Nothobranchius furzeri: one gene and its partners. The protein of the gene in region 2 purifies or fractionates together with the protein of the main gene of each other region. This does not show direct contact. Links are inferred from orthologs where the notes say so. Each region holds a gene or a part of one and is shown on either strand. Other genes may lie near its edges. The genes, in order: trip6, ptpn21 and NEDD4-like E3 ubiquitin-protein ligase WWP1.

The links.
Region 1: the proteins of ptpn21 (region 2) and trip6 purify together in Homo sapiens (affinity purification with mass spectrometry; 3 studies listed by BioGRID and IntAct, with this or other methods). This does not show direct contact. The link is inferred for Nothobranchius furzeri from reciprocal best matches to the Homo sapiens genes PTPN21 and TRIP6.
Region 3: the proteins of ptpn21 (region 2) and NEDD4-like E3 ubiquitin-protein ligase WWP1 purify together in Homo sapiens (affinity purification with mass spectrometry; 3 studies listed by BioGRID). This does not show direct contact. The link is inferred for Nothobranchius furzeri from reciprocal best matches to the Homo sapiens genes PTPN21 and WWP1.

The regions. Positions count from the first base shown.
Region 1 is NC_091742.1:54,147,271-54,151,375, forward strand, and holds the start of trip6 (thyroid receptor-interacting protein 6), read right to left. Parts: upstream 2,849-4,105; 5' UTR 2,728-2,848; intron 2,726-2,727; exon of another isoform or gene 2,620-2,725; intron 2,254-2,619; 5' UTR 2,214-2,253; intron 1-2,213. UniProt on the Homo sapiens protein: Relays signals from the cell surface to the nucleus to weaken adherens junction and promote actin cytoskeleton reorganization and cell invasiveness. Involved in lysophosphatidic acid-induced cell adhesion and migration.
Region 2 is NC_091758.1:26,610,375-26,614,026, forward strand, and holds part of ptpn21 (tyrosine-protein phosphatase non-receptor type 21), read right to left. Parts: intron 270-3,652; coding exon 51-269; intron 1-50.
Region 3 is NC_091747.1:36,679,742-36,683,393, forward strand, and holds part of NEDD4-like E3 ubiquitin-protein ligase WWP1, read right to left. Parts: intron 2,721-3,652; coding exon 2,568-2,720; intron 2,342-2,567; coding exon 2,269-2,341; intron 1-2,268. UniProt on the Homo sapiens protein: E3 ubiquitin-protein ligase which accepts ubiquitin from an E2 ubiquitin-conjugating enzyme in the form of a thioester and then directly transfers the ubiquitin to targeted substrates.

The DNA of each region.
Region 1 (4,105 bases), on a different chromosome or scaffold from region 2:
GCGAAATCAAAGGGATGAATTCCACCTGAGAGACGTTCCGGACACTCTTAATGAAAGGAGTCGTAGAAATTAAAAACATAAAGTTGTTGGTACCTTTAGGAAAAAGGTTTGTGTAGATGGTCAGTGGTCCAGGACATGGGAATCTTAAATGTTTAGTTGGAACTGCTGGATCTTTCTTGTTTTCCTTGAAAACGTGTCAGAATGGTGCCGGTGTTTCACTGATATTGCTGGAGGGCCCATGACCTGAGACAAGCGTTCTAGTACTGGGCAGATCCAGAACACCTAAAGCCGAGCGTGCCCTGTATAACTGTCACCGTCCACATGCAAACGACACAAAACAGCCTAGCACCAAAGATTGTCGAATGAGTGGAAAATCAACCCCAAACAGACCAAAAATGGCAGAGGACACACAGCTTTAAAGGTCTCCAGATTTCATTAAACCCCACAGATTAAAGAGCAAGTCAACCCCTACCAGAGTCTAACTCCACTCCCACTTCATGTTTGAAAATGCAACAAATGCTGTTGCCTGGCAGACCGAGAGGGTGGAGCTGCTAACAAATACACACACACTCAGGCTCACGACAGCATTGTGACATCATAATGTACCAGTTTACATCATAGCATACCTCTTAGCCAATAGCAGTGGCAGATTTAAATTAAAATGCAGTGCAGAGTTTTTACCTGACAACGGCACAACACTGCCAGTTTTAGGCAGAATATTTAAATTTTAACTAAGATGCACTGAAGTGCCAAATTATTGACGACACGTGTCTGCAGCACGATTAGACACTCGTTTATTTAGTTTATCAGCAAAAAAAAGTTTATTTGGGGGTGACTTGCTCTTTAAAGACACCTGGTGACCCAAACCCCCTTCATGCCTCACAGTAGCTACAGCATTCTTTTCTTTGCTCCAATGTTTGTGTCTGCGAACACAAAAATCAACAATAAACTGCACCTTAATTATGGGAATGGGGCCGGCACGTCTGACCTGTTGGCCAATCAATTTTGCCACAGCAGAGGCGACGACCCTTCCCCTGTTGATCAGGTAAGATCAGCTAATTTGAGGATGCTAATAGAGATTACAGAGAGAAGGAGACAAACCTAAAGGACATTTTTTCAGCAGTAAAATGTGTTGGGTTGTGGACAGAAGACTTGTTGTGGACTATTTTACTGGAGGACATTGATTTGACCCGTGTGGGTGTAAAGACTCTGTCCTGTCGATTTAAAAAATCTTGATGAACAACATTTGTTTTCCCCCCCCAATACCAAAAACAGAAGTTATAATTACTAAATTACAAATGTTGAAAATGACTTAATGAAACGTGTTTTCCAGAACAAGAATAAATGGCAGACACAAACTCCAGAGACAGACTGCAGACACCCAAACGAGCCATGTGAAATCTGACACAAGTGCAGTCCCTGTGCAGAAATGAATAACCCACTCACACCGATTGGACGTGGGTGGTGTGACCCTCCTCGTGGTTAAGAGGATTATAATGTCAGATCAGATGTCGATGTAGCTTCATATAAATACATTTCAGACAGGAGATTTGAACCCTTAACATGATGTTTTTTTTACTGGTTTTAACGTTCAAATTAAAGATATGTGATCCATGTAAAACCAGCAGATTCAGGACTTGTTAAACTGGAGTTCACACTGAGGAAAGGGTGATCACCACCTGCGCAGTGGTCCCGATTAAAGCGTTTGTCTGAATCCGGATGAGCACACAGTCAAATCTAAGGCAGACTGGCCCAGGGAAATTAATCTCCATGGTTTCATCCCCCTCAAGGTTTGGAGCCAAATGTTTCCTATGGAGCATGCATAACAAATTCTACTTATTGTTCAAACTGTCTGCATAGAGTAAATCATCAGTACCAAGTCCTGAATTGGATGAAAGACAATAAATATAAAGAACTTCCTACTTTTAAATTCTAAATAAAGCATATCAAATGTTTGTGCAACGCAATAACCCAATAAACACAATAAGTCGTCATTTCCTGTTGCAAATCTCATATTTACATTCATTATTTAATTTTACAATTAGGCAACATAAAACACTTATTTTCGAAATAAAAGATAATGATAGTTAAATGTTTGTTTGTGTGCCAGTTACTACTGATAAAGATATAAAAACATAAATTACATAACTAAAAATAAAAAACACCACTGTGCTTCTGGTCAGTTTTTTCAAAATAAAAATCAGCATTCCTACCTTCACAGTGCTTTTACTGTCGCCTGTCCTTAGGTCTCATCTACACACAAATAACAAAGGGGGGAAAAAAAGGCTGAAACAGAAAAGCAGATAAACTCACATCCGTCTGAGATACTGTCCCGTTTTTAGCTCCGCAGCAGCAACGATATGTCAAACCAGAGAATCTGTCTGGTCTAAATCTGTCTGTGCGTCACGCATGTGCAAATCACCGCACTTAAGTGATCAAACACTCCATAATGAAATAAAACTACCCGTAATTAACTTTAATAGCAGCCTTGTTTACATGTTTGCTAGCATGTCATGAATCCGAGAGGTGCTAATCACGGCGGGGAGCTTATTTCGGCACAACACCGGGCTAACTTTCATCACGACCAAAAAGGAAACGATGCGGCAAACCGCCACCTACCGCCCGAACCGAGCCGCACAAACACGACTTACGAGTCCATTTAAACGTTAACGACTTAGTGAAAGTTGTCCTGAAGACTTGGCTGTCGTTGAAGCGTCGTTAACCTACTTTTGTCACGGATCTGAAGGCCTTTAGCGAAGACACCAATTCCTCGCTGCATTCCCAGCGCGTGACGTAGCTCTGGATGCGCGCGCGCGCCTGTGTACGAGCACGAGAGGTGGTGTTGGGAGGAGGCAAGGGGTTGGAATAAAGGAAAGTTTACCTTTTTTCACAAAAATCTCTCTCTCTCTCTCTCTCTCTCTCTCTCTCTCTCTCTCTCTCTCTCTCTCTCTCTCTCTCTCTCTCTCACACACACACACACACACGCACGCACGCACACACACACACACACACACACGCACGCACGCACGCACGCACGCACGCACACACACACACACACACACACACACACACACACACATCTATCTATCTATCTATCTATCTATCTATCTATCTATCTATCTATCTATCTATCTATGTGTGTGTGTATGTATATATATATATATATATATATATATATATATATATATATATATATATATATATATATAAGTAATAAAATACATCTAAATGTCCCACTATAATTGGAAAAATATGTAAATATTTTAGCCGTATTGAGCAATTATTTTAAAAGTTTAGAAATATATAAATGTACTAAATATCTAGTCTCGTCTTCTTCTGCCTATTCGGATCCGGGCAGCGAGGGCAGCATCCCAACCAGGGAGTTCCAGGCTGACCTCTCCCCAGCCACCTCCACCTGCTCCTCCAGTAGGACCCCAAGGCATTCCTGGGCCAGTTTGGAGATGTACTTTCTCCAACGCGTACTTTCTCCAACATGTCCTGGGTCGACCAGGGGACCTCCTGCCGGCAGGACATGCCTGAAACACCTTCCTGGGCAGGCGTCTAGCAGGCATCCTAACAAGATGCCCAAACCACCTCAACTGACTCCTCTCGATATGGAGGAGCAGCGGCTCTACTCCTAGTCTCTCCTGAATGTCTGATCAAATAAACTAAATATCTCTGCAGTAATTGGCATGATCCTTTGCCTCACACAAACAAGAGACTTCACATGTCAAATATACTGTTTATTACCAACTAAAGCTGTGGCAAATGAGTAAAAACAGTTAGTGTTGTAGAAAAATGAAAGAATTGTAATGCTTTAGCCTTATTTGGCTCATTTTACCTAATGCTTTACATAAAACTCATCTGCAATTACTCCCTGAGGTCTCCGGCTGTGATAACCCCTGTGACTTTTGCCTGATCAGACAAAACCCCACAGAGCTTCTTGTGACGTGTCAGGAGTGTTGGGCCTCTGCGGCTGTAAGGGAATGTATTTAGTCCTCTTTGGTTTTCACACATGCTTCTCTTTGTGCAAATTTAACATTCACACCCAGCAGCAAATGTAACATCTTTTCTGATCGTCCACCACAGAAGGCTAGCATGTTTT
Region 2 (3,652 bases):
TGCGCGCGTGCGCGCGTGCGTGCGTGTGTGTGTGTGTGTGTGTGTCTTACTTTGATGTGAGAGGCATTGATGTAGCCCGTGTTGTTCTCTTTAGTGGGAACCAGCTCCACTCTGGTGTTGTCATAGGGCAGGACGTCCAGGAAGCGGTTCTTCTCGACATTTTCTGGATTTCCAGCTACGTTGCACTCCGATCCCAGACGGCGCTTCGGGATGCTCTCAAACTCCTTGAACAGCTCGCCTCTTTCCAAGTGCTCCTCCAGCAGCCGACACTGGTGAAGAACACACCCGTCATTCCCCCGTTCATAAACAATCCAAAACAGAAATCTGGTTGTTATGGAAAATTTATGTTTATTAATTCTTGATCATTGACTCAGTCAACTGAATGTAAATGTATTGCTCTATGCCACACACACACACACACACACACACACACACACACACACACACACACACACACACACACACACACACACACACACACACACACACACACACACACACACACACACACACACACACACACACACACACACACAATCTCTCTCTCACTCCCCCTCTCTATAAATAAACTTTGTGACCGGATGTTCGGTGCATTTTGCCACAGTTATAACTGTTTGACTTGTCTGCTCATTGTCTCCTTCTCTCTTCACTATAGGAAATGGGTTATTGATGAACATATTGATAAAATCCATGACATTATTTGGTCCTTCGAAAGCGGGGGTCCCATCACCTTGCGGCGCCAAGAGCCGACGCCGGACGACTGTCGACTACCTAATCTCCAGCGCTGAGTTTGCTGGGGGGTCGGTGAGGTCTTGACGTCGTTAGGAGGAATGCGTATCCACGAACTCAAGCCCTGAGTGGAGAGATTTGGTGAGACAAGTTGTTTTTTGTCGCTTTGTCTTGTGGTACCGAGAGAGAATCCAAGGTGACCAGGGGTTAAATTGGTTTTTGGGCGTTTTAGCCGGAAAATATAAACGCTGACAGATTCCTGGAATGCTGTTTTGGTCAGAGAGAAAGATAAACAGATTCCAGAAATGCTCTATTGGCTTGGTTTTTTGGGCGTTTTTGCCAAAATATAAACGCTACCCTGGTGTGATAAAGTTATAAATGATAAATAAATGGACCGGTGTGATAACTAAGAGGTTCAATTGGTTTTTGGGCGTTTTGGCTGGAAGTATAAATGCTACCCTGCTATGGGAGAATTTGGCTTGGGTCTTTGGGTGTTTTGCCTTGTATAAGAAGCGCTACTCTAGTTATCTGTATTGTTGTTTGTTTGTCTTAGATGTTGCCTGCTTTAATTGTTGTTTGGATAAATGAGAGTGTATGGATTGCTTTGTACGTGTGGTATCTATGTATGGGGGAATAAGAACTCACGAAATACCTTCTGAGTAAATATTGCACATTGATGGAAATGTAGATCCTGGAAATGTGGAAATGGTTTGAAAATTATCAGCGAATTGATGGAAAACGTGTTTTTGATAACCGCTGACGTGTCACAAATGTATTATGCTTACAAGAAAGCACAGAGCGGTGGAGAGAAAAAAAGTGTTGAAAATGTGAAACAGAGAGGAGGCAAGGCCTGCCTAAAAAACCAAAACAACCGCAGCTGTGCCATGAGTCTAAGCCACCAAGGTCAATTGCGGCCTGAAGGTTATAACTAGAAAATAAAGATGAAAAATATAATTTGAACAGGTTCTCAAAATTGTAATTTACTTATTTGTTTTTGCTATTAAGCACAGCTGTTGAGTACTTTATTGCATTTGAGACCCTCTATGTCACATATGTCAGAGTCAAGGCCCGCGGGCCATATGCGGCCCGCGGAGCATTTTTATGTGGCCCGCGAGATAAATATCAAAAATATATTAAAACTGGCCTGCTGGCCGATTTTACCGCAAAGACTACAACTCCCATGATGCTTTGCGGCGCCAGCGTGGAGCAGACGCGCACCCTCCTTTGTGTTTTTTCAGCGCCGAGGCAGTCAGAGGTAGTTGGGTGTCTGCAGCTCGGCTGTCTCAGACAAACTACACTCCTCTCACTCAGCGCCGAGTTCACTCAGCTGTTTTCTGACGTTGAAGCCCAGAAACGGAGATTCTAGCTGCTCAGTAATGTGTTCACGACTGAAAGAGAAAGTTTTCAAACTAACGTCCAGACAGAGCTGATATAACTCCAGCGAGCAGCGACACGCTCAAACCAGCACGACTCTGTGGCTGCTGTCGTGTTTCCTCCCCGACACACAACAACGTGGTCAAGCTGCTCAGACATGTTCATCAGCACAAACCTATGTGAGCACCTGTTGTCATCTAATGTTGTCATTATGATGAAGATGAACAAAACAACAGGAGTCTCCTCCTCAGCTCAGATCAGCCCCATGATGCAGGTATCTGGCTGGAACAGGTGAGCATCACAGTAAACCAGTGGAGCAAACTGAGCTTTAAATATGTTGGTTTTATGTTCTTTTTCTGCTCCAAAACATGAAAGTTAACAGGTGAGATGTTGCATTTTCATTTAAGATAAAATGATATTTTTATTTTGTTGTTGGCACGTAAGAAAAGATTTAACCTACAGTAAAAAGGAAGTGGAAAGGCTGCAGATAGATGAATAGAATAGAAAATCCCTTTATTGTTCCTCAGTGGGGAAAGGTAGACGTCACAGCAGCGATGACACTTATTACAGGAGAAAAAAAGGAGAATAAAAATAAGAAAAATGAATAAACAAGAAAACATAAATCCTGAAAAGATTTTAAAAATGCTGATTATCCCACAAGTATTGAATACCACTGATGTGTTTTATTTGTAACTGACTTGCTCGTGTGTAATTTGGTTATTCCACATTCAGTGTTAATGCAGAAATACGTTTGTTTCCAAATTTAAAGGTTCAAAATTGCATACATGGTGATAAAGAAAACGTGCAAATTTGCCGTCACTTTTTCAAAAAATATTAAGTTTGGCCCTCGACACCGTCCCAGAGTTTCATTTCGGCCCATTGTGAGTTTGAGTTTGACACCCCTGCTCTATGTGGACTTCAGCAAGTCCAGCCAACATATTTCATGTTCAGAATACACGCTGTCCACTGAGGTGAACATGTAATAAATTATTAGCAAATTATTAAATGTTACAAACAATATTTGTTTAAATTTGTTTCATTCACACCCAAAGATGAATGAGAATAATTGTTAAATAATCATGGTTGAAGATTTCCTAATTTGTGCATCAAAAGGTTAGACACGACCCAAATATTTAATTTCTGGTATCTGGCGATTAATATAATTTGAACTATAAACTGTGTCACTTTAGTGGATGAAAGTGAAGGGTTTTAGTGAAACCCCCCGGTTCGAGAAATTGAGTGTTTATCAGTACATGGTAGTAGAAAGGGAGCCAAAATAATAGCCAAGTATGGAGGTTATTAGTTGCTACCCTTGGGCTGGGAAATTGACTGTGTGATTTAACAGTAATTCCAGACCAACAAAACTGTGACATTATTTGACTATGACTATTGTCAAATTGCATTTTATCTCCTTATTTTGTTGTTTCTTTTCTTTTTTTTTTTTTTTTATCCTTGTCTCTGACATTTTGAAATAGGACAAGGGAGTTCTCAGCGAATGACAATCAAGCCCGGGCAACAGCAGATTTGGTGTGCAGCACCTGTTGAATTC
Region 3 (3,652 bases), on a different chromosome or scaffold from region 2:
GGACTTTTATCTCCTCATGTGCATGGCGTCTCTAGAGCAGCAGATGGGAAACAAGATCTCCTGCAACTTAAAATGAACCAAAGCAGCCTCCCAGTTTTTCTTTAAATTGAATTTAACATCAGTTTATCATCATGAAACAAAAAAATAAAGATATAAGAATAAAAGAGACAGAAGGTTGTGCTGCAGCCGCCGTCACTCACCCCACCTCCTCCCCAAGACCGGATCACAACACTCAGTCTGAGTTTTAAGCATTTCGGGGAGAAATAACGTGTTTGGAGGTGTGTCCTCCGATCTTCTCCCTTGTGTGAGCAGACAGGGTGCCACTCTCTCTCTCTCTCATTTGCTGTTTGAGCGAGTGGAGCGGAACAACCCACTCAATTAACATAATTCACTGGCCCAAGTCCGACTGAACCGGTTGGGCTGACTCGGTTCCGGTCCAGTCTCAGGTTAGAACTCCAGCGCTCAGCCCTGCAGTACCACATAACGGCGGACCAATATTTCCTACTCGGTAAATGTGGAAGGACACGTCCCACTCCGACAGAATTGGATGCTACGCTGGTACCGCCGTTAAGAAAACAAAACTACATTCCACTACAGGGAGTGCAGAATTATTAGGCAAGTTGTATTTCTGAGGAATAATTTTATTATTGAACAACAACCATGTTCTCAATGAACCCAAACAACTCATTAATATCAAGCTGAATGTTTTTGGAAGTAGTTTTTAGTTTGTTTTTAGTTTTAGCTATTTTAGGGGGATATCCATGTGCAGGTGACTATTACTGTGCATAATTATTAGGCAACTTAACAAAAAACAAATATATACCCATTTCAATTATTTATTTTTACCAGTGAAACAAATATAACATCTCCACATTCCCAAATATACATTTCTGACATTCAAAAACAATACAAAAACAAATCAGCGACCAATATTGCCACCTTTCTTTGCAAGGACACTCAAAAGGCTGCCATCCATGGATTCTGTCAGTGTTTTGATCTGTTCACCATCAACATTACGTGCAGCAGCAACCACAGCCTCCCAGACACTGTTCAGAGAGGTGTACTGTTTTCCCTTCTTGTAAATCTCACATTTGATGATGGACCACAGGTTCTCAATGGGGTTCAGATCAGGTGAACAAGGAGGCCATGTCATTAGTTTTTCTTCTTTTATACCCTTTCTTGCCAGCCACGCTGTGGAGTACTTGGACGCGTGTGATGGAGCGTTGCCCTGCATGAAAATCATGTTTTTCTTGAAGGATGCAGACTTCTTCCTGTACCACTGCTTGAAGAAGGTGCCTTCCAGAAACTGGCAGTAGGACTGGGAGTTGAGCTTGACTCCATCCTCAACCCGAAAGGCCCAACAAGCACATCTTTGATGATACCAGCCCAAACCAGTACTCCACCTCCACCTTGCTGGCATCAGAGTCGGACTGGAGCTCTCTGCCCTTTACCAATCCAGCCACGGGCCCATCCATCTGGCCCATCAAGACTCACTCTCATTTCATCAGTCCATAAAACCTTAGAAAATCAGTCTTGAGATATTTCTTGGCCCAGTCTTGACGTTTCAGCTTGTGTGTCTTATTCAGTGGTGGTCGTCGTTCAGCCGTTCTTACCTTGGCCATGTCTCTGAGTATTGCACACCTTGTGCTTTTGGGCACTCCAGTGATGTTGCAGCTCTGAAATATGGCCAAACTGGTGGCAAGTGGCATCTTGGCAGCTGCACGCTTGACTTTTCTCAGTTCATGGGCAGTTATTTTGCACCTTGGTTTGTCCACACGCTTCTTGCGACCCTGTTGACTATTTTGAATGAAACGCTTGATTGTTCGATGATCACGCTTCAGAAGCTTTGCAATTTTAAGACTGCTGCATCCCTCTGCAAGATATCTCACTATTTTTGACCTTTCTGAGCATGTCAAGTCCTTCTTTTGACCCATTTTGCCAAAGGAAAGGAAGTTGCCTAATAATTATGCACACCTGTTATAGGGTGTTGATGTCATTAGACCACACCCCTTCTCATTACAGAGATGCACATCACCTAATATGCTTAATTGGTAGTAGGCTTTCGAGCCTATACAGCTTGGAGTAAGACAACATGCATGAAGAGGATGATGTGGACAAAATACTCTTTTGCCTAATAATTCTGCACTCCCTGTATTGTTGGCGTTTTCACAGAACAACCAGTCTGCTCAGCAGCAGAAGTGGAATGCAGCCATGGCTGCGGGGTAAATACGTGTGAACACAAAGGTTTGGTTTGTCTCCTGGCTTTACCTGTTGGCGGCCCTTGAAGAGGAAGAGGATGAATCCCCGTTTTCGTGAAGAGCCTCACCGTTCTGCTGGACTTCTGGAACACATTTAAGAAGATGATGTCAGAAAGATTACACAACATAGAACATTTATAGCTCCTCATTAAGAAACACACATCTCCCTGAGTTTATGTAACTGCATGCATTTGTGTTGTTTCACCGTGTTTTACAGCTTTTTCCTGTTTTTAATTGAATAAAATGCAGCTGCAGGCTGAACCTGACACCACGCCATCAGCCACTTAGATGGAAAAATCTTCAACTCACTGGTGCCATTTGCTGTGTTGCCATTAGTAAGTGGTTCCAGTCCAGGCTGGTCAGTGACAGTCAGACCATCGAGGTACACGGTCAGATCCCCCACAGGCACAAGAACCCCTTTCTGCTCCACATTCAGATTCAGCATCTCTTTCACATTCTCCACTAGGATGAAAAACCAGACTGAGTCAAAGGAGAGGAGTGAGAGGAGGATTACGATTCTCTTACCATAATAATAATAACCTGAACATTTATAATAGATGTAAACTTTGTGACCCTTTTCAACACATCAAAAGCTCTCTGACTCAAGTCCCACCCACTGAGCAGCAAAACCTCCCCAGACCGAGGTCCAAGACGAGTTTGTCCATCCATCCATTTTAGGCCGCTTATCCGGGGTCGGGTCACATGGGCAGCAGTCTAAGCCGAGACACCCAGACTTCCCTCTCCCCAGCCACTTGGGCCAGCTCCTCCGGGGAATCCTAAGGCGTTACCTGGCCAGTCGAGAGATCCTCCAGTGTGTCCTGGGTCTACCTTTAGTTCTCCCGGTTGGACGTGTTTGTAAAACTTCACCAGGGAGGCGTCCAGGAGGCATCCTAATCAGACACCCGAGCCACCTCAACTGGATCCTCTTGATGTGGAGGAGCAGTGGATCTACACCAAGCCCCTCCCAGATGACCGAGCTTTTCACCCTATCTCTAAGGGAGAGCCGAGCCACCCTGCGGAGAAAACTCATTGCAGACCCTTGTATCCGTAATCTCGTTCGTTCAGTCCTTTGTGACCATAGGTGAGGGCGGGAACGTATCCACTGGTAAATCCAGAGCTTCGTCTTCCGGCTCAGCTCTTTCTTCACCATGACAGACCGGTACAACGCCCGCATCATCAATCCGCCTGTCGATCTCCCGCTCCAGCTTTCCCTCACTCGTGAACAAAATCCCGAGATACTTAAACTCCTCCACTTGATGCAGGACCTTGTCCCTGACCTGAAGAAAGCATTTTGACTCAGGACCACGGTCTCAGATTTAGAGGAGCTGACTCTCACCCCAGCTGCTTCACACTCAGCTGCAAACCGCTCCAGCGAAAGCCTCAGCAATGGAGGA